Linked DNA regions of Oreochromis niloticus. The protein of the gene in region 1 purifies or fractionates together with the protein of each later gene. This does not show direct contact. Links are inferred from orthologs where the notes say so. Each region holds a gene or a part of one and is shown in the gene's direction. Other genes may lie near its edges.

Region 1 (7,380 bases):
CTTAGAGACAGTCATGTGGCTGCTGGCACCTCACATGGATGGAATGAAAAACGTGAAGCTCTCCAAGTTCCAGCAGCTGCTGCTGACACTAATGCGTCTCCGCCTGGACCTCCGCAATCAGGACTTGGCTTACCGCTTTGGCGTGAAAGTCGGCACAGTAACCAGAACAGTTCACCGGATGGTCAACATCATGTCCTCTACTCTGGTGCCAACGGCTGTCTTTTGGCCCTCCAGAGCTGAGCTCCGTAAAAACCTGCCAGCCGCGCTGCGAGCCTCTCATCCTGACTGCGCCGTCATCATAGACTGTTTCACCGTGCCTTTCGAGGACCCGGTCTCTCAGGGGGCGGGGTCAAGTTATAACGTGTTTAAGTATCTGATTGGCGTGGCTCCGCAAGGCGTGGTCACTTTTGTCTCTAGGGGTGTGCTGGGAAACGTCAGTGACAAGAGCCTGGCTGAGGGTTGTGGATTTTTGTGCAAGCTTCTCCCGGGCGATGTCGTACTGGCAAGCCGTGACCTGGACATCGGAGACTCTGTGGCAGCACGTGGAGCCTTGTTTAAAATTGCTGGCAGCTACCAGGGAGAAGCATATGGGAGAACAGAGGGCTCATTGCTGGCTGATCCTTCCTCCGAGACATTGAGCGTGCAGAGGCATGTGGAGAGGGTGATCTCCATGGTAAAGCAGCGGTACGCCATGCTCACGGGCCCTGTCGAGAGCGCCTTCACCGCAGCCTCTGAGCGCACGTCGAACCTCTCAACCTTTGATAAGATTGTGCAAGTTGCCTGTGCCTTAAACAACCTGTGCATCTCTGCTGCTCCACTAGAGTGATGTGTAGACAAACTCCTCGTGCTCCTTTAATGCTGATCAGGCTCTTCAGTTCCCTTTACTGCTTTGGACTGCACTTCTTGCTGTCCCTCTGTGTCTATGTGTCGACACTACATCATGACTACAGCAAATAGATTTATACTTTTCCACTATAATCCTAACTTTCAATCTATGTCACTCCTTGTGATCTGGGTCAGTTTATACTTAGCAATAGGACCATTTCTCCAAATACAGAAACCACATTTCTGAGATGTAATGTCATGAAGTTATGCACCTCCTCTCACAAAGAATGGCCGACTTGCAAGAATTTATTTTGTTTAGGCTTTGGGTGAAAACTGTGAGTAAAACCCTCATGAAATCTGTCTTGATTAGCTATTTGTAAATGCTGAAGTATACACACTGCAGTTTGGGTGATGCGTTTCCACTGATCCCACATCTCTGACTGTTAAGTGTGTCTTTCCCATCCCTGACTGTAGTTACCAGATTACATCGATCTGCTGCAGAGAAGTGGCATGTTGCTTAACCTTTTTTAATTTTTATTTAGTTTTTTGTTGCTTCCCTGCATCTAAATCAGGAAGCGTGCACATAGGAATATGCATAGAAAGAGGTTAAAATAACAGAAATGCCAGACAAAGTAGTACACCTCCTCGGCCCCGGTGTCTCCTCCCAGTTCGGGGTGCAGGGACAGAAGTGTCCTGTGGTTTGTGAAGGAGTACTGGTTCTAAACTCATCTTTTTTTTTGGCATAGTCACATTTTTGTAAGCCAGGTACTTTTTATAGCAAGAGTACAGTCAGCTGCGATGATTAGCTACAAGTTGGCAATTCAAGCACATCTTGGAATGGCAGATGTCTTCAATGTCTTCATCAGCAGGGATTTGCTTGTTTTGCAGGTTTAGACAATAACAATAATAGTAATGATGATGATGAACAGAAAATCAGACTTCAGCTTGAGCTGTATACAGTAATTAACAATGATGTCCATTTTTACTGAGCCACGTGTTTAGGTAATTGTTAATTTCCCCAAAGTAGTTAAAGCTCGTTATTTAATACAAAAAGAATCATCTTTTGTGCTGGTGAAGAAGTAAACATTATTGTGACAGATGCTGACATGCTGTTGAGCCTGAAGAAACACATTGTTAGATGAGTACATCAGCTACATTTAACATGTGGATTCATTCTCACTGGTTTGTCCTCTCCGGTGGGAGACTGTGACAGGCTTTGGTCCATGAGCACGAGCCACAGCAGTAGTTATGGTACAAGGCTGCGGGTTATTTCCAGAAAGGTTACCCAGCAACTGAAATTTTGATCTTTTTAAAGGGTTTGACCTTTCAGTAATGTAGACACACCAACTGGAAAGTTTATACTGATATACAGTATATCTGCATTTTTTTTTTCATTTGAAGAAAACCCGCTCTGAATATTGAATTACATATTTTAGTAGTGCTGCTTTGCTGGTGCCTTAGTTTGTAAAGCTGTTCCAGATCAGCCCATATTTTCTACAGATATTTATTTTGACATCATGCACTATTCTTTGAACTTTTTCCTGGTTTGGTCCCTAAGCCAGATGTGCATGATGAGTCAGCATCTGTAGTCAACAAGGTCTAAATGTGTGTTCCTATTGTTTTGTTGTTTGTTTGTTTTTAAGGTACATCATTCTTGTGTGCTCAACTTTCTGCCAAAACTAATCTAAAGTCACTACACTTATACATATGTTTTCTCCTAAGGTAATTGGTTTGAGGGGCTACAATACAATTGGCTCAGGGCCCAAAAATGAATTGGGAATGCTCCAATAACAAAGACTACACTTAAGTTCAGGTGCTGGGCTTAAACAGGTGATGCTTCATAATCGGTGTTAGGTTCAGAATGTGCCTTCTGTTCTCAGACCCCTGGGTATCCCAGACAACAGATGGGTCTGTCTTTTCTGAGTGGTCATGTTTTGGTTGACTGTGTATTGCTCTGGGGCTTCCATAAGGACATCTAGCCACAATATTTAGTCCACTTGCCTGCTTTTCCCCCCTTCAATTAGCCATGGTGTTTGGCACTGCTGATGCTCTAAACAAACTATAAAAATCAAGTTAATTAGCAGTACTATGGGTTGATATATTTCTTCAGCAGTGCATGTACTTTGGATGAACACATGCTTCCTTTTTTTTTTAAATCAAGTCTTTGACTGAGTAGACTGTATCTGCAGACCTTGCTTGCTCTTTTATGGAGGGAGCGAAAAGCCCCCTTTTTTGACTGATTAAAATAGTCTTACAGTCTGGTTTAAACGGTGTTTGGCCGTTCCTAAAGTAGTGAGTGCCGCTGGAGGACTGTTATCAAGCAAGGCCAAATACCAGTATTAATAGTAGTTAAAAGGCTTTGTGAAATGACTGTTGGTTTATTCTGTCTGTATTTAGTTCTTACATGCATAAGAACAAAGTCAATACTTCCTATTTGATGTTTTTCCTGCTCTAAAATAAGAGCTTCTAGGTTGACATGTATGAAAGAAGTTCATAAACTCATGTTTTTCTCACACTACATTGCTGTTTGACATTATTGTTACGGACGCATGTGCTTCCATGATGTGTAAACTCCTGAAGGTTTCCTGTTTAGTTTCTCTTTTAATATAGCTCCTGTGACTGAAAAAATAAAGTTGTGGAATTGCATCAGCTTACACACTACCCAAGAGTCGCCGTTATGTTTTTCTGTGTGTACGTGTAAAATATTGAAGGTCTGTGTTGTCCTGTGATAACTGACATTATTATAACTTTTTATTTGCTTTCACACTGAGTCATTGGTGAAGACTATTTCCAAGGCCGGAGAGGGGTGACTGAGTAATGTAATGTGCAGATATACTTTATTTATCAAAGGGAAAAATGCTTGGAGGAAGCTCCGCCTGTGAATATTTCAGAGGAAGGAAATCAAGACGTCTCACTCCGTTGCTTTTTGCAGTTACTGCAGCGGTGAAAACGACAGCTCGTCACTACTCGCTATTGCACTACAGCGTAAACTAGAACCCCGCAGTTCTGTTTCTATACTTAACTCGTCTTTAAAATCAAAAGTAAAACTTACTGATGCACTTCAACAAAAAGAGATTTGTACGACGCCGAATACGCAAAAACATTTTTAAGTTTAATTTGTTCGCAAACGGTAACAGCTCCTAGCTAAAACAACGTGAACGGAGTGAACGGCACTCGCCTAATAGACGATCTTCAGGTCCGCTGACGTGCATTGGTCCGTCACGTGACCTGAGGAATGTTAACAATGCAGCGAGTGTCCAACTTTGTGCTGAAGTTCTGATCCTGCCTGGAGTCTGGGGAGAAAATGGAGGCTCATTTCATCATATTTACCCACTGAGCTAGGTGTACGCGCTCAACAACCGAGAACCGGACTCTTTAAAGAAAAAAAAAGTTGCCGTTTAACGGAATTTATTCTCTTCATATTGAGTTTTTCTCGCCACTTCTATCACATGGTAAGTTGAGAGTTGCTTTTTTTGGGAGGGGAGTGGTGGTGGTGTGACTTATTTCCACGACTTGTTGCTGAGCAAAACGTTCCGTTATGGGTGTGTTATACAGCGAGGCTTATGGAAAACGAAATGGAAGTTTCTGTAAGTTTGAGCCTCTTTGGAGCTTACAGGACTGCCTCCATTTTTTTCTCTCCCTGCATTGGAATGTGTTGCTGCTCTCAGCCCCCAACTCAAGCCTGGGATATTGCTGAGAAGGCCCCAGCGCTTTAAAACAGGGCTTTCCGGACCTTTATGCCCATACAAATATCACTGTGTACTAGTTTTAAAGCTTTGGTGCAAATGTGGGAATTCAATTTAAGGGTTTAGTCTATATTTAAATGTTTGTTTATTTGTGTACATTTAAAGTCCATCTTATTTGGGCATCCTAACTTGTGCCTCCTCTGAGGACCACTAACAGTAACAGAAGCTATGCTTTGTAGATGCTGTTAGTCAGAAGATCCTGCATTAATTTCACTGTTTAAAGTGAGTGAACAGATTTGTAGTTAATAAGAACTGAGCTAAATAAAATAGTTCGTAACAGGTCAGAATATTTTTTTAATATTGTATCTGAAAATGAAAATGGAGTCATCTGATTTGAATCTATCATTTTCACTTCTCTCAGGCCCTGCATAGTTTGGCACTGATGCAACAGTGCGTTTCATTCAGGTGTACTGTACCGCATTACTATCCCCAAAACACACTCACCCACTCTCTTTCTTTCTGCTTGACACACTTCTGTCTGTCAAGACAGTTCAGCGCTTTGATTAGTTCAGCAGTGACAGCAGACCTGGGTGATGCAAACCAAAGTCACATGTTTTAAAGGGACGCTTGATGCTCCTGCCAGTCTGTCCTGTAGCGGGGGCGGGGGGTCACATTTTCAAACAATCACACCAGTTTCACTCAGACTAGGGTGGCGCGGCAGTGTGGTGTCATGCACGTCAGAGGTATCTGTCAAAGAGGAACCACTGGGATACAAACAGATGCTTTGGTGGTGATGTTGTCAACACAGTGGATTGTAAGAAGCATGCAGGGATTATTACATGTTATTACTACTACCATATTTGTTTTAAAGGGACAAATGTAAAAAAGTGGGCTACATGCACACAAAAACAATCTAGATGGGTAGATGACTCCAAAGGCTACAGGGAAAACATATCGGTTTGATTTTGGGGTTGAGCTGCAGTGCATCAGATACACACAGAAAGAGCCAAATTGTTTCCCTCTTATACACACACACTTGCACTCTCACAGCTGCAGCCAGTTTCCATCAACTGTTGTCTCTGCCTGCACATTTGTGATGTGTCCTGCAACATTAACTGAGTTGGTCCCACCCACCTCTACCCCCTGTCTTACTCCACCCAAAGCTTAGTTGTTGGCCAGCTTTGCCCATTAGGAAGTTGTGTTCTTTCCTCCACCTCCGCCTCCTCTTGCTTCGCAATTTCCCAAACACAGCAGAGATATGACCGTCCACATTCTCTCAGATCCTTCAGGCAGGTTAGAGGCAATCTTATTAGTATTAACCTGCCAGCTGCTCGCGTTGCTCAGTATTCTGTGGGGTTCAATGTTGCAGAATGCATGCTTTCCCAATTTAGCATCACAGTGGGCAGCTTTGTTTTTGGTGAGACCGAAAACAAAGCTGTGGTATAGTGTGCTAAAGTTTGTTATGAACAACACATGTCCACGAAGAGAAACATGCGTTTAAAGTGTCACATGTGCCATTAAAAGTCAAAAAGTCAAAAAAAGTTATTTTACCAAAAAGAGATTAGAACATTGTCAGTGGTCTGTTTTGTTAAAGTGGATATTTGAGGAATTGATGAAAAAATATTTATGTCGCAGGTTATTTCACTAGTTTTCCTCAGTACCTGTTGGTGTAGCATGAAGTTTAAGTCATCTTAGGTTTAGGGTTAGGTCAAAGAAGGAGTAAGGTTCAGTGATGGGGGTGGTTATGTGTAGAGCATTGTTTTGGGCAGAGTCATGTCTTTTTTTTTCTTGCAGATTTGTAGTTATAGACAGATACTGTCCGTGTAGTTTGTGTTTTGGGTTATTTTGGTCAGCGTACTGCCCCGTGATTGAGCTGCGGTATTTTACTTGTACTTACTTGTGGAATGGAATGCTCATTGCTTGGACACGGCGCCTGAAGCATCGCAGGAATGGAGGCAAGAGATCCCGGAGATGGGGCAACATTTATGGAGCTTGGCCCCATGTTACCCCACCACCCAGCAGTGTAAAAAGAAAAAGCATGTTTTTGTCTATGCAAAGTTTAATCTGTACAAACAGTGAAGGCTGTGTCCTCCTGAAATGGCCCAAAGGGATGGAGACTGCTAGAGAGGAGGAGCAGGAGAAGGAGGAGATTGGGGATGCAGTTCAAGAGCTTTTTATGTTTGGAAGCTTTTTCCTCTGCAGCTGCTTGGTAGTAGCGCTGAGGGATATAAGATTAAGATAATATTGTTAAGAATGTATTTTTAATTATCTAAATATAGAATATCACAGCACTGGGTGGATTCTGTTTGGCATTGCCTAAGACCAAAACTTGACTTGTAAATTTTAGTTTTGGCGTGTTTTCTTTTGAAGGTATTCTTTTGTACCTCCGCACAGACACACGGGAGTCTCTGGGATAGTGTAAGAATTCAGTATGTTGCATCACCATCACTTCAAAGTTTTCAGACTATATTACTTTATCAGTGAATCAAAGCTGTGGCACATTTGAAATTGATGGAAACATCTGGATGTTTAATTTGGTATATTTGTAGCTGCTTTTAAAGATCTCTGTTGGCAGCTATAGTAAGTACAAAAAAAAGTTGTGGTCATGATATCTCAGAGACAAATGTTAATGGTTTTTGAGGAGGAAAAAATTAGAATCCACCCAATGCTCAACTGACTACTTTTAGACATTAAATAAAACATTCTAGGTTGTTAAAAAAGATGTATGCCAAACTGGGGGGGGATGCTCTGGGAATACTACCGCGATCCTCAGATAACATCAGCCGGGGAAACTTGTAGTAAATCAGCTCAACCAGAAAACTCCAAAAATCCGATACTGGACATACTTAGCTATCTGCTATCTGCTAAT
Region 2 (7,879 bases), on another chromosome or scaffold:
TATCATATGTGTAAGTGGCATCTTCCACCTTCATCTATCATCACCAGGTTGCCATTAACACAGTGGACTTTGTTAGCAACAAAAACATTATGCACAACATCTGCAGAAAACTCCATTGCTAGTTTACTTGCAGATTAAGTTTTTCTTCTTTTTAGTAATTGCTGACTTAGTCCTAGTTTGCCCACATCTTTGTTCAGCACTTCATCAGTGACGATCAGTTAATAATTGACGTTTGAGATCCCTGTATGTATGATTAGTCCTGCTGTTCATGCTGGCTTATACAACTGTCCAAATCCACAGTGCTTAAACAGTGGACTATAAATTTGAAAACGAAAAACTAGAGAGATGTTTTCTTAGCCAGTATGAACAGGAGGAATGCTGACATCCTGCAGATTGATTAATCTGCATTCATATTAGAATTTCTAGTTTGTCTATCTTCATTTATTCAATAGTCTACACACATCTCAGGCATAAAAAGCCCATCTTTAGAATTAGAGGGTAGAGCCCTGGTGAAGTGTACCTGCCTTTTCTCTCCAGGGGGCGATGCCGGAGCAGCGGGCGGCACACGCAGACAGCTGCCGGCGGATCGGTGGATTGTAACGCCAGCGTCATTTCCTGCTCTTCGCTTTACAGACTGCTTACATTCTGCTCTCCCTCTGTATCCGGAGTAAAAATCTGAATGTGGCACATGAAGCCCCACATTTGTGGTGCCAGAGATAAATGGCATGACGTTGTAGTTGTATTTCATTGCTGCTAGGTGGCAGGGAAACACAGAAAAGGCTCCTGGCTTGTTTTCCAAATGGGATTTTGATCACATTAATACTTGCATTGACAGTTGATAGACTGTATGTTTTCTAAAAAGAATAAATAAATAAATAAAAATGTAACATCACTGAGCTTATATAGACTGGAAAGAGGTAGGACCAGACCTTTGGTGGATTCATTATACATCCTGGTCGCAGTGAATCTTTTCGATGCAGGGTTTACTTTCTGGGAATGACTGTTATGCACTTGTGTCTTTTTAAAACTTTAAAGGGTTTATGACAGGGTATGTATCCTCGGAGGAAAAATCCTGTCATCAAGGGCCAAGGTTAGTGCCTGACAGCCTTTTGAGTCTTTTTCTAACAATCAAACCATTCCCACCTGTTGTTGCCAGGTGATGCTACCTGATGCTATTTGTGTGCAGTCAGGGTTCATGGAGATTGTTCAATGAAGATACCAAGTTTTTAGTCCTCTACTGTCCTCTACTGTATATTTGTGTTCTGGGCCTCTTTTGTTGCTGCTGAGCACCCAAAGTGAATCACATCTTTTTGTTTTTCTTAAGCAAGGACTGATCAAACATGTTTGGTAATTAATTTTCAATGTTTGGCTGGTATTTATTAAATCTTTGTGAGGTTGGTAGTTTGTCTTTAGTACAGCGTGTCATTATGTCCGTGTTTTGGGTTTTTTAATCATTTAGTGCATTTTTGTTCTTCCTATGATGCACATCTGTTTTATTTATTTTATTTATTTTTTTCATGTTTAGAGTTTGTTTTATTTATTCATTAATTAATATTTTTTGTAGCTATATCTGGAATATAAGTCATAATTTTATACTTGTATTTATTTTTCTAGTGAATCATCCTCTTTAGAAATGTAACAGAAATCCATTAATAAAGAATAAAGCAACTAGCTCACAAGAAATGGTGTCTGACTCATCTCACGCTCACATTTGCAATTGTTTTGTTTTTATTATATTTTTTTTTCACCCACTCAGAAGCTGAACTCATTTTATATGGTAGTCTTGCATCAGCAGCAGTTTGACAATGTCCTTGACTGTCTTCTCCCCAGGATGAAAGGGAGACGAAGATGAAGCGCATGGAGGAACGAATGAAGGAAATAGAGTTGTCTCTGCATAATGTCAAGCTGCTGCTCAAAGAGAAAGTTGCTCAACTCAAAGACCAGGTCAGTTCAGTTTCAGTTCAATGGCTTCCACTAATTTTATTTTATTTATTTTTTTATTTTTTTGTAAGGTGTTGTACAAAGCTGGACTGCCATTTCAACAAAAATCTACTATACATTAGCTAATTTGGTAACAATGACAACGCAACACAACCTGTGGGAGAAGATAGACAAAATTTAATATTATTCAATAATGAAACATACTTGGTGCATAATGGGAGGTTCCCCAGCAGTCTGAGCCTGTATCAACATGGGATGGTTCAGGGTCATCTGCAAACTATAAGCTTAATCAAAAATTAACTATTTTTAAAGTAGAGAAGGGCATCTGTCACCTGTAACTTGGAACTCTTTCCACAGGAGAAGAGGCCTGATGAGATCTGATGGGGTCTCATTGTTAGTTTATATGTTAGGAGGAACATTTGGTACAGTTTGATAGTGATTGCAGGAGTCCAGCCAAGAATTAAAAACTGTATGAATTCATTTTTCCACATCACTCCGAGATGCTTGGCAATTCCACAGAGATAAAATAAAAAAAACTCAGAATTTATCATTAGAAAGGTTATGTTGTTAATTTAAACTATACCCATATTGTGTTTTCTGTCGTAGATAACTCCATTTAGTCTTCATAGCAATGGAAATGTATCCAGTAAAAATACTACCTAAGAGAAATGGTATGGGTCCTGGTACAAAACCTTGTGGAACTCCATAACTAAAACCCCTTTTTTTTTTTTTTTTTTTTTCGAACAATTTGAAATTATTCAAAACATTGCCATGTAATGTAACCCATTACAATCAATTATCTACTTTGACTTTTCTAGCTGCACAAGAATGGCAAAGCGGACGTACTAATCAAAGATCTGTATGTGGAGAATGCCCAGCTGCTGAAGGCTCTGGAGATAACTGAGCAACGTCAGAAAATCGCGGAGAAGAAGAACTACCTGCTGGAGGAGAAGATCTCCAGCCTCAATAAGATAGTGTGTGACCTAAACCCGTCACATCTTCCGCTGCCGTACCATTATAAATGATCACAAGGGATTAACTTGAAATGTGTGTCAAAGTCAATATTTGCACTGTATCTTTACTAAATACTTTTATTTTATTATATTTATCACTGCTGCAAACTTTATGCAGCAGATTCTGCCAATTCATGAGAACTGGTGGTTTTATGTTAAATATGCAGTATTTTTGTCCATTTAATTCTAACCAGTAATTAATGGGACCCATAAATAATTAAATATGAGGTCAAACTGCAAAGAAGACATGACTTTTTACAGTTATTTATATTTTTAAAGCACTATTACCTATTAGTAAATATCTTACCTTTAAACTTGCTCTCTGTCCAAAGAGAGGAAAAACAATTATGAAGTGTACTTTTTATACAAGTGTTCTGTGTTTGAACTGTCCAAAAGTTGTTTCTCTAGCCCTATTGTAAAAGAATAAATAGAAACCTGTCGTTCGGTAGTAAAATCATGCAAACTGAGAAGTCAAATCATGTTTTACCTAACACTACTTGAAATTGAAAAGACTTTAAATGTCTATCAAGTGGCAATATTTTACATGTCATTTTACTTTTAAAGGAAATTGTATGATCTGTTGCAATATGTAAAGGTGTACAGGCTATGTGATTATGGTTGTTCTGGCTTGAAAGAAAGTACCTTGTTATTGTAATTAATTGTAATCTGCATTTATTGCAGAGTAAGCATTAGAGTTAAGACAGGGTAATGGCTGTGCTACAGATATAAATAAAATGAATGGATTGTGTTTGGTGGTTTGTAAGTTATGGCTTTTTTTCATTGGACATACACATGATAACAATAAATGTGATTCAAGCAAAATCAACATATTTAAAATTCATGCCAACCATCCATGGCAGGAATGTCAAACTTATTTTACATTGTGGTCCAACATCCAGCTAAAGCTGTGGCCTAATAACATGTTAGAAGATGCCTCTTAATTATTCCCCTTTCTTTCAGTGTAAAAAAGTTCAGATAAATATTAAACAACTGAGATGTCTTAACAAAAAAAAGTGTATTTTCAACAGTACGTCTCACTCTTTGCTGACAAATTTCTTTATAATGTACATTCTTTAGGTTTATGTCTGAGTAAATGATTACAGCTACAGAAAAAAAAACACTGGCATCCCACACTTTATACTGTAAATAAAGTTGTTGGGGGTTTTTTTAACCTGTGGCTCCGATACAAAACAAAAATGTAAATAATGAAAGAAAACCATTTCATATCATTTATTCAGTACCTACTTTGGTGTATGAAAGGATAATGTGTTTTTAAGAGAAGCTGTAAAACTGGACAATACAGATAAAAAAAAATAATCTGCAATTTCCACAGTGTTTAAGCCATCTAGTGGGTCAGTATAGACCCTTGAGAAGCCTGTTCCAACCCCTGGGCCATTTAACATCCCTGACATACAGGTGTGACCAGAAATGTAGTCACTTTAGTCTAAACGATCAGTTAACTCTCTACGGCTTTAAAATGCTGCTCATGGTTTGCTGCTTTTGTTGTTTACATCCAAAGTTTGCACAAAACAGACATGCATTAAACAATCTGTATGAAAACGTGTATAAGTAAAGACAACAGAGATTTAGGAAAAATTTAACTGATATTTTCTAACTACAGTACAGTTTTTGAACACTGTAGTATAATAAATTTAAAGGTATAGGCTTAATTATTTATTGATTGCCATCCAACCTTCAAAAGTCTCTCATGTCAGTTTATTTCTAAATCAAATTTTCATATGTATCTGTTAATACTGTGTTTATGTCACCGAAGGGCCCCACGGTGGTTTTTGCTCCTCTCTCTCCTCCTTCAGATGGAAGGACTTCCCAGTAGTGGGACTGGATCCGCTGCAGCAGCACTGACGCTCCCTATGGCTTCAGTTAGCTGGCTAACTGCGGCTAGCTAATCCAAAGCTGCGGGGAAAAATGTTGACTTTCCGCGCTTTGCTAACTGGCCGGTATGGTTGCAAAGTCGAAGGATTGTGCCATGACTTTACCTCACCGTGCTGTTGATGTTTTCCGAGCCTTGAGTTATGCTCTCACGAAAGAAAAGTAAGAACGAAGCGTCCAAACCAGCCGAGGTACACGGGAAGTATGTGAAGAAGGAAACGTCGCCGCTCCTGAGAAGTAAGCGCAACAAGTGGTTAGCTTGTCAGCTAGCCCCGAATAGCATCACTCAGCTCGCTAGTTAAAGTTAAACACTGTTAAAGCTTAGTTGGCTAACATTAACAAGTAATGTAAAATTACTCTGTGGGAACATTTATACTTATTTTTAAAGCTCCCACGATTGTAAACAGCAGTTTAATGCTGTACAGTCTAACCAAACACAGCTACGATGATAGTTATTGTAGCTAAATGCTACATGAGCGCCAGTTGTAGTGTATAAAGTTATAAGATAATGCTTACAGCTCTAAATGACTCAGCTAAAGGCATATTATACTAGTAGATTAGTTTAGTTAAAAGTATTTTTTTAGTGTCTGTAATGACTTATGATTATTGTGATAGCTGCTGTTAGGTGTTTCTATTAGAGTATCTATAGAAGTATTATGAATGTTCACTGGAGTGAAAATAGCAGTATTTTGTAGAAATGGGGGTATTACTAAATTACCTTCTCGTGTAAAAGTTTTATTCGAGAGTCAGTAAACATTATAATTCAGGTATGAAAATTAAAAGTACGCGATTTGGCTCCTATTAGTAAAATATTCTGTTTTTATTATGGGTTTTTTGTTTTGTTTTGGTTTTTTCAAGTCATCAGGCATGAGCAGCTCCAAGATATTGTGTTGCCTTTTATTGACATTTGCTCTGCTGACCTGATTGCAGATCTTATGCCCTCCTTCATCCGTCATGGACCCACTATACCCAGACGCACAGAGGTCCCTCTGCCAGAAATGGTGCCTTCTTCCTACCCTTTGGCACCCAGCCGGGAACCTGTGGTGTCCCGTAACAAGAGTGTCCTCCGTACCCATGTGCAGAAGACTCCTCATGAGGTGGCCCGCACAGAGAGCCACCGCTTGTCTGCACCTCCGTACCTGCCTCGCAGTCTGGGAGACATTTCGCATGAGTATGGAGGCTCATCACAGTCCTTCCTTACAGACGTGAGTCCCATGTCTGAGAATGGAGATGCCCGGTATTATTACCCCTCTGAACCTTATTATGAAAACCAGCAACATCAACAGCAGCAGCAGCGCCAGCCAAGGAGAGTCCCAGACCGCTTTCCTGAAGACTATAGATACTACGAGCACAATGAGCACAACTTCCAAAGACATCCCCGACAACATACTCCCCCAGCTCCAAACAGACCCCCTTCAGGTAGATTTTACATTTCTTTGTGAAGCTCCCTTTTAACGCTGTTCATGTCTTTATTTATATATTTTAACGAATTTAAAGAGGTTTTGTGATAAAAGCAAGAAACACCTAGTTTCAGAAAGTTTATGACTGACATCCCATCAGCAACTTTTTAAAATTTCCCCTTGTAGACCTTTTTTTTTTTTTTTTTTTTTTTTTTTTTTTTCAAACCCTTGTTTCTTTGGTGTATGGCAAGATGTAGTAGTGTCAGTGGCTGTACTAATGTATAATTTCTGTTTTGAGTATTATGGATGGTTGTCCAACTACACAGAGGCCACTCTGAAAGGAATGCAGGCCACTAGTTGTCAAATTGAAAAGAGCAATTTCATTTCAGTCTTTATTTTACTGCTCTGTGTTGTAAACATTACTATGATGTAAGTGTAATTACATTGAGATGGGGGGGGGTTGGGGGCACGGGAATGCTTCTTGTCCTCCTCGTACCATAAAGACACTTTTATTTTGTGGCTGGCTTGTCAGTGTCATGTATACAGTTCAGTATTATGTCAGGCCTGCCGATCATGTAGCCTTGTTTGGAGTAAAGTCAAACAAGCATTAGAGGCTCTGCATTTTTCACCACTGTGTTTGCTGAAACTTTCTGCCAGCAAACTAGTAATTTGCACATTGCCCCCAGTCAAATGTCTCAGCCTCAAACTGCTCGCTAGCATGAATCATCCTTGTTACGTATGTGCTGATCTCTTTATGCTTGCATTTAAAACACAGTGAAGTTTGAGAGGGGTCACCCCTCAAACACTGGCAGACGTTTTTTCATTTTGATAACAGCATGTTTTTGTCCCGTAAATAGTACTTTTTAACAAGAAAATAATCAAATCAAAGCAGTTTGAAAATAACTCAGAAGTTAAATGTTGGTGCAGGGATTGACGTTATTTCTGAGTTGCGTGTGTTCAAGTAGTGAAGTCAGAAGAAAACAAGGGAAAGCATGATTTGTTTTGTTCTTTAACAAGGTAAAGTCATTCAAGCATCACTTTGAATATAGTGCAGTCTTTTTTTGTGCTTAAAAACAACGCTGTAGCATGTTTGTGCATGACGCCCAGTCAGTACAATGCCACTATATGTTATTACAGCGTGGCTCTGTGGTATAGTTGGTCACATTTGCTTTAAACTGAAATTATGGTTCAGTGGGGGTGGCATGCTGGCCCATCTACCTGCAGAGACCGTCTGTTGTTGGACAGTGTCCAAAGTATGTTGTACAACCGGTCTGTGGGCTACTCTTGCTTGTCCTTTTGTTGGTCCATCAGGCAGCCAGGTAGAAGCACAAGCTAGTGCCCAAGCCCAGATAAGGAGGGTTGTATCACACAAGCATCTGCTGGAAAATCTCAGCCAAATTGGGTATGAAGATCTTGTGTGGCAACCCCTTGGGAAATAAAAGAGAGTATATACTGTTTAAGTGGTGTCCTATACTATACTGAAGCCCCACACACCTGCTGTTTAAACCTCGTGTTTGCAAAGGGCAGCCAGTTAAAAGAAAGAGCGGTTAGTTCTGGATGAACTGAGGGGCTTTGTCAAGGCTTAACTCTTAATAGGGCACTCATTGAAATACTTGGAAATTCAAGTCAGGTTGT
Region 3 (7,661 bases), on another chromosome or scaffold:
GTGCTGCCGCACCGGTTTGTCCTCATTGCACAACTGTCAAACATAGTTCTCCGTTATATAATGACAAGCAGAGCGCAAGGGCTAATAACTGAAGAGTAATGAGCCATCGACAGTGATGTAACTGTCACTTTTATCCTGTCCAAAGTAATTAAATCCTCAGAGAAAAGGATTGAGTGTTTTGGGGAGAATGGGACCAGTGTACCAGGTCCCAGAGGCAATGTGTCGAGGCTACAGGTCTAATAGAAGTTTAAATCCCCCGATAGGCTGAGGAAAGATCTCTCTTTACAAATGTTTGAATAACTCATGTTCACAATATTTATCTTTTGTTATTGTTTACTCTGCACATGATAACACAGCACTAGTCCTTCTCGCAGCTGAGTTTGCAGAAATTTTCCTCACATATATAAATGAAATTAACTTGAGGTAACGTGATCCCACCAGATCTAATTTGGCAAGCAGTGATGTAAGATAATCACACATGCATATGTCCTAAATTATCAGCCTTGTGTCTTTGCAAATCACGCAGATCATGCGCAGGACCCACGAGATTTAAGAGTAGTTTTTTTGTGTGTGTGAAAGATTAGTTAATTGCATGTAGTCATACTGCACTCAGCAAGTTTCCAATAAATACCTGCACGATGCAAACGCTTAACAGGCTGCTGACTAGCTGCTGTAGCATTACTCTCAGCTTGTTATATCAGGTTTTACAGACCACGTGATCAGATATACCCTGCATGTTCATTTTGCCCCAGGTGTGCACACCTACACCTCGAACTCCACCTGAAACCTGCCACTGGGTGCAAGCAGTCACACAGATTTCATCAGCCAGCCCCCCCACCCCTCATCTACACCTGCAATATTACCGGCGTGACGCTAGGGGCGCTGCGAAATGTGCTCAACTGAGGACGTTTAGTACAATAAAACAATAAAAGCCAGCAGAATAAAACCCAGCGACTTCATCCGCGTACATAAAAGCCTACAAATAAGAGGGCACACGGGGGGTGGGGAAACTAAAAAAGAACCAAACACTCCTACCGAGTGAGGAAACAGAAGCGCCTCAGAGGTCGTAAAATGACCGTTAAAGCCGCAGCAGATGTGCGGAGGAGACTCACCTCGAGGCGGACGTGTGCAGTTTACAGACTTGGTGCTGTGTGTGCTGGCACAGTTTCCTGAGAGTCCTGAGCGCTGCCATTTCTCACCGGCTCACAGAAGAGGAGACACTGCTACAGCGCCGGTTACGAAACCCCGGGTCTGACGGAGGGAGGCTGTGAAGGAGGAAGAGGAGCAGAGCGGTTTTAAACACCTCCCCCCCGCTCGTGGAAGCTGCCTACGTCACTGCTATCAGTCGCCAGCCCTCTGCTGCAGAGCTCTGCCCCTTCACAGCAGCCCAGCGTGGAAGCTCATGAGCGGTACCAGGCCGTTATTCTTTCAATATAGAGTCAGAGTTGTTGTTGTTTTTAGAGCTTTAAAGTTATTTTTCACGTACAGTTTCCACGTTCAAACAACCAGGATCATCATAGCTAACTAAAACAACACTGAAACCAAGTATAGGTGTGGTAAAACATTTGAATCAACTGAAATAAAAGCTAATTCATTAAATAAAAACTTAAGCATATTATATATTTGCAAAACTAACTTAATTGTTTTGGATTTTCACAGAACTTTTTGCAGTTTTCACAGCAGTTCACGCCAAGGTCACACCCTGTAATGCTCAGAGACAGTGTAAAAAAAACCCCAAGAACCCCATCACAGACTCCACAGGCCTCAGTTGGCATGTTAAATGTTAAAGGTCATTACAGTACAGTTAGTAAAAGAGTAACAATCATGGCTTGTTTTTCCCTCTATCCTTGTGGAAACAGGCTTGAGGTTTCTGGTTCAACTTCTGAGGTGCACAAAGAAGAGGAAACATCTGAGGACTCTGACTAAAGGCTACAGGCAACAAGGCACTATGGAGTTGTTGTTCATACTATAAATGTAGTTTGAAAGAGTTGCCAGGAGAAAGCCTCTTCTTCCTAAAAAGAATCTGAACCAAACCACAAGACCTCTGGAACAATGTCCTGTGGACAGACAAGACCAAAAAGGAGATCATAATGCACAGCACCGTGTTTGTCATAAACCTAACACCTCATAGCAGCTGTTAGGCACGGTGGTGGAGGGGTGTTGATTTGGGCTTGTTCTGCAGCCACAGGACGCTTTGCACTCATCGGGTTGACCGACTTTCATTTTTCTCATGACTTTTTTGTTGTCTGTGTCACTTTTCATACGTTTGTTCATGGACTCGTTCATTAACCAAAATAAAAATAAAAATGAGAGAAGAAATCGGAAACAATAATTTGTACTTACAAGACTGACTGAAATAAAAAATAAACAGAAAACATTCTTACTTTTTGGCAGTGTGGTCAGATTTGAAACACCCAGACAGCTTAATGAGGCTTTGGTGTAAATTCACATCATGTCTGTATCAAATGAGGTGTTGTGTTTGTATTATAATATTATAAATCTTGCTTCTAACTCTTAACACCCACATTATAATAAGAAAACTAAAAGCAACGCTGAAACTGGATTGCTACTATTAGATTACTAAATGATTATCATGGCTTTCTTGGTCAAGTTGAACCATTGTAATTACTTTATTCCCTATTGGCAGCTTTAATATCCTTTAAAACTGTTTTTTCTTAAACCCTAATAAAAAACAACTACATGGCACATTTATCTATTGGATGTATTAAAGCAGATTTTCTTTCAACGTTTAAATACTCAGTTATGTACAGATACACAAGAATTGTATTTTAGTTGAGCACTTGATTAAATGTAGGTCTTATCTGTATTCATGTTCATGTCAAACTGTGGGCACTTAAAGGAAAAACAGTACTAAGGCAGTGGATTCTTTGGAGTTAACCCCATGTCTGCTGGAGGTTTTGTGGAAAAATGTAATACCTGACTGAACCTTTTGAAACACATTGATCTGTTCTCTGTTTGCCACTGTTTGTTCTCGCTCTTTGGTGGAACCACAAGCTAACAGCTTAGCTTAGAGCTTGGAGAGTACCGAGATGTACTGTACTTCCTTATCTGGAGAGCACATGCAGGGCGGGTATATGAATGAATATGAGTGAAAGTAGGTTCTCTGACAGATAATGTTGTATGCTTCGGATCATATGCTGTCTCTCTCTTCTCTTCTCCATCTTTCAGGTACAAGTTCATCTTGTTTTATATGTCCAAAGATATATGTATATATTGATACCTCTCAGATAGATTTGTGTTTCCAAACTAACGATGCCTTCACCTGCACTAATGTGTCTTTTTTGCCTCATATTGCGAATTCCAAATGCAAATTCAACGCTTCAGACCTTTTACTCCAGATCTTTTATCGGCATAATTAGTTTTGCTATAATGAGGGAACAGGCATCACCTGGCAATGAAATAGCTTATTATTTAACTGAAAATGAGAAAGATTTAAGCTGACAGTCTGCACTTAGATCGTATATCCATTGTTTGATTTAAAATCTCCATCTCACCCTGTCCCTGGGATCCACCTCTATCACACTAGCCCTTTTCATGTCCTCCTTCACTACATCCATGAACCTTCTCTGAGGTCGTCCTCTTTTCCTCCTGTCTGACAGCTTCATATTCAGCATCCAGTGTCTCTCTCAGCCCCACCTCTCTAACTTTGTCTTCAAACCTGAGCCGTCCCTCTGATTTACTCATTTCTAATCTTGTTTGTCTTGCTCACTCCCAAAGAAAATCTTAACATCTTCATCTCTACCACCTCCACCTCAGTCACCTTTCATGGCCACCATCTCCAAATCATATTTCATAGCAGGTTTCAGTGTAAACCTTCTCTTTCCCTCTTGCTGTTATCATTGTATCACAGATCACCCACCACTCGTCTCCATCCACTCCACCCTGCCTGCACTCTCATCTTTGCCTCTCTTGTACACTTTCTGTTTCTTTGGATGGTTGACCCCAGGTTTTTAAACTTATGCACCTTCACTACCTCTACTCCTTACATCTTCAATGCACCTGTCTCCCTCTCATTCACACACATATATTCTGTCTTGCTTCCTCTGACTTTCATTCCTCTTCTCTCAAGAGCAGACCTCCACCTCTCCAGGCTCTCATCCGCCTGGTCCTTACTCTCGCTACAGATCACAGTGCCATATGTAAACATCATTGCCACGGAGACTCCTGCCTGACCTCATCTGTCACCTTGTCCATCACCACTGCAAACAAGAAGGGGCTCAAAGCCGATACTGAATATAATCCCACCCTGACTTTGACCTCATCCGTAGCACCTACCAGACAGCTCACTGTTGTCACACTGTCCTCATATTAAATGATCAAAAGTTCATAAAGAATTTAAGGGGATTGTTCTATGTCACAGTATTACAGTGTCACAGTATGTCACAGTGCTCCAGGATGACACATGAGAAAGTAACAGTTTTATAACAGAAAGGTCTTGAGCTTGGAAAATGTACGTAGTAATACCTACAGGCAGACTGAAGGGGGCGACAGACTACCATTTGCGCTGCAGCAGACAGCAGACAGAGGAAGAGGCTCTGTGGGTGCAGTTCATGTTAGCCTTCACTGTTGCTGTTAGCAGGCACCCCTGACAAGTGCCTCGCACAGTGTACTCCTAAAACGCGTTTCTGTTTACTAAACTAGCTTCAAGAGTTCAAATCCAGGAACTTTAACGATTCCTGCGCCAAGATGAGCTTCCTGTTGTAAGTAAAGTGTTTTTTTCTTCTTTTTTTAAGCGCTCGTGAAGTTACAGCCGGAGCTTGCGGTTAATGTTAGCTGCGCTTCTACGAAGTTCAGTCAAGGGAAGTAAGGGGCGATAAAATAAGACACCGCTACATAAAGTAGTCAGCTAACCGCATCCCAGTCTTAGTATAGGTTTAAGTTGCGTTAAAGTGACGCCTTCCTTACGCAGAGCTACCACTGATGATTGTAACATGATCGAGAAACTGTTGATTTACAGTTTGCCACAACTCACGAACTGTAACTTTTTAAAGTAGTGAGTTAGTACGTGCTAACTTTGCTAGCCTGGTGAGCAGCGCTAACTCGCGTTTGGTTAGCCAGCTTAGCTCATATGGTCACTCTTTAACTGACTTAAGTGAGGCTAGACATTCAATTTTTAGTCATATCCCACACCTTTGGAGGTCTAATCTCGCTGGGTGGTTATAAAATGTTAAGTAACGCCGCTAATTAAGTTTCCGTTGTTTACAGTAATACTGTGACACTGGTGCATTTCCTGTCAGTGGGTATACACTATAATGTGGTTGAGTCACGGCTCTGACGCTGTGGAAGCCAAAGTTTTTTGGTTTGATGGCAAACGCTGCAGCGGTCACCCATCACGAGTTCAGCGTGAAGTTTATAGATGTCCACCACCAAGCTTGCATCTGCTGAGTGCACACATGAACAGGAGTCCTCCCGTGTGTAGATCAAGGCCCAGGAAGAGGATCTACTCTAAAATTAGCCTTTTAAAAACGACACTTTAGATAAAAGTCTGTTGTTTATGTAGTTCACTATCACAAGTTCAGTCTTTACTGTGTTCAGCTCTCTGTCCTGTTACACATTTGATTCGACAATCTTACTGCAAATGACCTTATAAAGAAAAAAATAAAAGAGGAAGGAAAACACATGAAAGTCAGTCATGCAGGGATCAACATGTCCAGTTAACAGTATGTTTATCAGATGTTTAAGGTGTAAAAATTACATTGTCAACCTTTCAAGGGTAAATGTTAACCCCGTGGGGGGGGCAGACAGATATGGCCTGTACCACATGACCACCATGAAGACAATATTTCTTAGATCCACTTTAAATTCTGTCCAGTGGTAGTCGCTCATCTAAGACCTTCAAGCCGAAGAAGAACATCCCAGAGGGCTCCCACCAGTATGAGCTGCTGAAACACGCAGAGGCAACGCTGGGTAGCGGAAACCTGAGACAGGCTGTCATGCTGCCAGAGGGAGAGGATCTCAATGAATGGATTGCAGTGAATAGTGAGTGACTCAGTACAATGACCCTGCACACACAGTATCCAACTAACCAGTTAAAGTTTGTACCTGTGCCCAGTGTTAACATGAATCATAAATAAAATAGTTCTGTACAGGTGCTGCACATTTGCACCACCCTGTGGTGTAAAAAGAGTAATAGGGTCATAGAAGAGTGCACACAGCTGGCAGACTGGTAAATAACTGGTTGTTGCATTAAGCAGGTATTGTAGAATTACATGTTTTATATGTTATCTCTAATAAAACATGGTATGTTTAAATATATGGCTTATGAGCATTTTGTGCTTTTAAATCTATTAAACTGTGAGTGTAGATACTAAAATACATATTATAATCTCCCAGTTCTTTCATCACAATAACATGCATAAATTCTGGATAAAACAAATAAGAATTTACTCTTTCCTTTAGCGGTGGATTTCTTCAACCAGATCAACATGCTGTACGGTACCATCACCGAGTTCTGCACCGAGACGAGCTGCTCCGTGATGTCTGCAGGACCAAGGTAACGCCAATCATTGTCCTCATGTTTGTGCTCTTAATTTAGAGTAAAAGTATTTCCACTAGGGCATATTTAACTGAAGACACGTTGTGAAACATCAGGAAAAACACGGGTGTTTAGATGCTTTATCTATCGGTGTGGTTACTGATATACACAATGGCCCACTTTCAAAGGTATATACAACACTTAGACTAGGGCTGCAGTGATTAATCAAGTAATTCAATTATAAAAAATTCTCGACACAAATTCTTTGCTTGAATGCTTCATTTAACACATGACTCTGTAGCACGGGCCAGCAAAACTCAGAGGCAGAGCAAAGGCACATTTTTATGCATTAGTTTAAATTTCATATCTATCTTATTTTGGCCTTTGACTGTACTTGAGATTATTTATATATTTTTACATTTAACAGAAGTGAATTTTTGACTTTTAAGACTTGGGTTATTATTGAGCTATGGGAAAAACATTTTTTAGTGTTTGATACCCAAACATGATGTTTTTGTTGAGGATTTAACTCAACTCCCCAACAAAAAAAGACAAAGAAAAACAAAAAGCTAAATCTGTTTTGCACTGTGTATCAGATAAAGCTAAATTCAGCTGACTCATTTCATGCGGCCCACTTCCTCTGTTTTATCAGCTCCACAATTACACTTTATCTATTTATTAGCTGTTATTTTACCAGGACGTCTCACTGAGATAAAAATGGCTTTCTTTTATATAAGAGACTTGGTCCAGCTGTTAAGATCTGATCTCCTGAGTTAACTGCAGAATCAGATTCCCAGATCACATTTTTAGTGGTGCAGGTGGTTAAGTTAAATCAGCTTCAAATCAGTCATCTGAATGTCACATGAGGAACACGGGAATTAAATCTTGCACGTGGACCCTGTAGAAGCTGTTTAGTTAGACTCTTCCCCTATCCTCTGTCCTGCCAAGACTTTCTGCGCTCAGTCTCTAATCAGGAGGAAGAGACGAGGGGGGTTCACTTCCTGTTGACATAGCCGCCATCAAGACTACGAAACTTCTGCATTTCCCCCTTCTGTGCTTTTTTTGGCCTGTCAGCTACCAGATGACGTTCCACTGTTCTGACAGATACACAGTTGTATGCAGAGCTCTCATTTTTCTTCTCCAGGTCCAGTTTAACTAGTGAATC

The links. Proteins that work in one complex are often made in the same cells at the same time.
Region 2: the proteins of lats2 (region 1) and sav1 purify together in Homo sapiens (affinity purification with western blotting; 4 studies listed by BioGRID, with this or other methods). This does not show direct contact. The link is inferred for Oreochromis niloticus from reciprocal best matches to the Homo sapiens genes LATS2 and SAV1.
Region 3: the proteins of lats2 (region 1) and mob1a purify together in Homo sapiens (affinity purification with western blotting; 9 studies listed by BioGRID and IntAct, with this or other methods). This does not show direct contact. The link is inferred for Oreochromis niloticus from reciprocal best matches to the Homo sapiens genes LATS2 and MOB1A.

The regions. Positions count from the first base shown.
Region 1 is NC_031987.2:27,638,585-27,645,964, reverse strand, and holds the start of lats2 (serine/threonine-protein kinase LATS2), read left to right. Parts: upstream 1-4,048; 5' UTR 4,049-4,277; intron 4,278-7,380. Other genes in the region: uncharacterized protein LOC102075830, read left to right, coding at 1-826. UniProt on the Homo sapiens protein: Negative regulator of YAP1 in the Hippo signaling pathway that plays a pivotal role in organ size control and tumor suppression by restricting proliferation and promoting apoptosis.
Region 2 is NC_031983.2:21,074,346-21,082,224, forward strand, and holds the start of sav1 (protein salvador homolog 1), read left to right. Parts: upstream 1-4,743; 5' UTR 4,744-4,987; coding exon 4,988-5,081; intron 5,082-5,774; coding exon 5,775-6,263; intron 6,264-7,879. Other genes in the region: nin (ninein), read left to right, coding at 1,831-1,944, 2,760-2,966. UniProt on the Homo sapiens protein: Regulator of STK3/MST2 and STK4/MST1 in the Hippo signaling pathway which plays a pivotal role in organ size control and tumor suppression by restricting proliferation and promoting apoptosis.
Region 3 is NC_031977.2:19,147,051-19,154,711, reverse strand, and holds the start of mob1a (MOB kinase activator 1A), read left to right. Parts: upstream 1-4,525; 5' UTR 4,526-4,707; coding exon 4,708-4,721; intron 4,722-5,833; coding exon 5,834-6,000; intron 6,001-6,420; coding exon 6,421-6,514; intron 6,515-7,661. Other genes in the region: mthfd2 (bifunctional methylenetetrahydrofolate dehydrogenase/cyclohydrolase, mitochondrial), read right to left, coding at 1,113-1,192. UniProt on the Homo sapiens protein: Activator of LATS1/2 in the Hippo signaling pathway which plays a pivotal role in organ size control and tumor suppression by restricting proliferation and promoting apoptosis.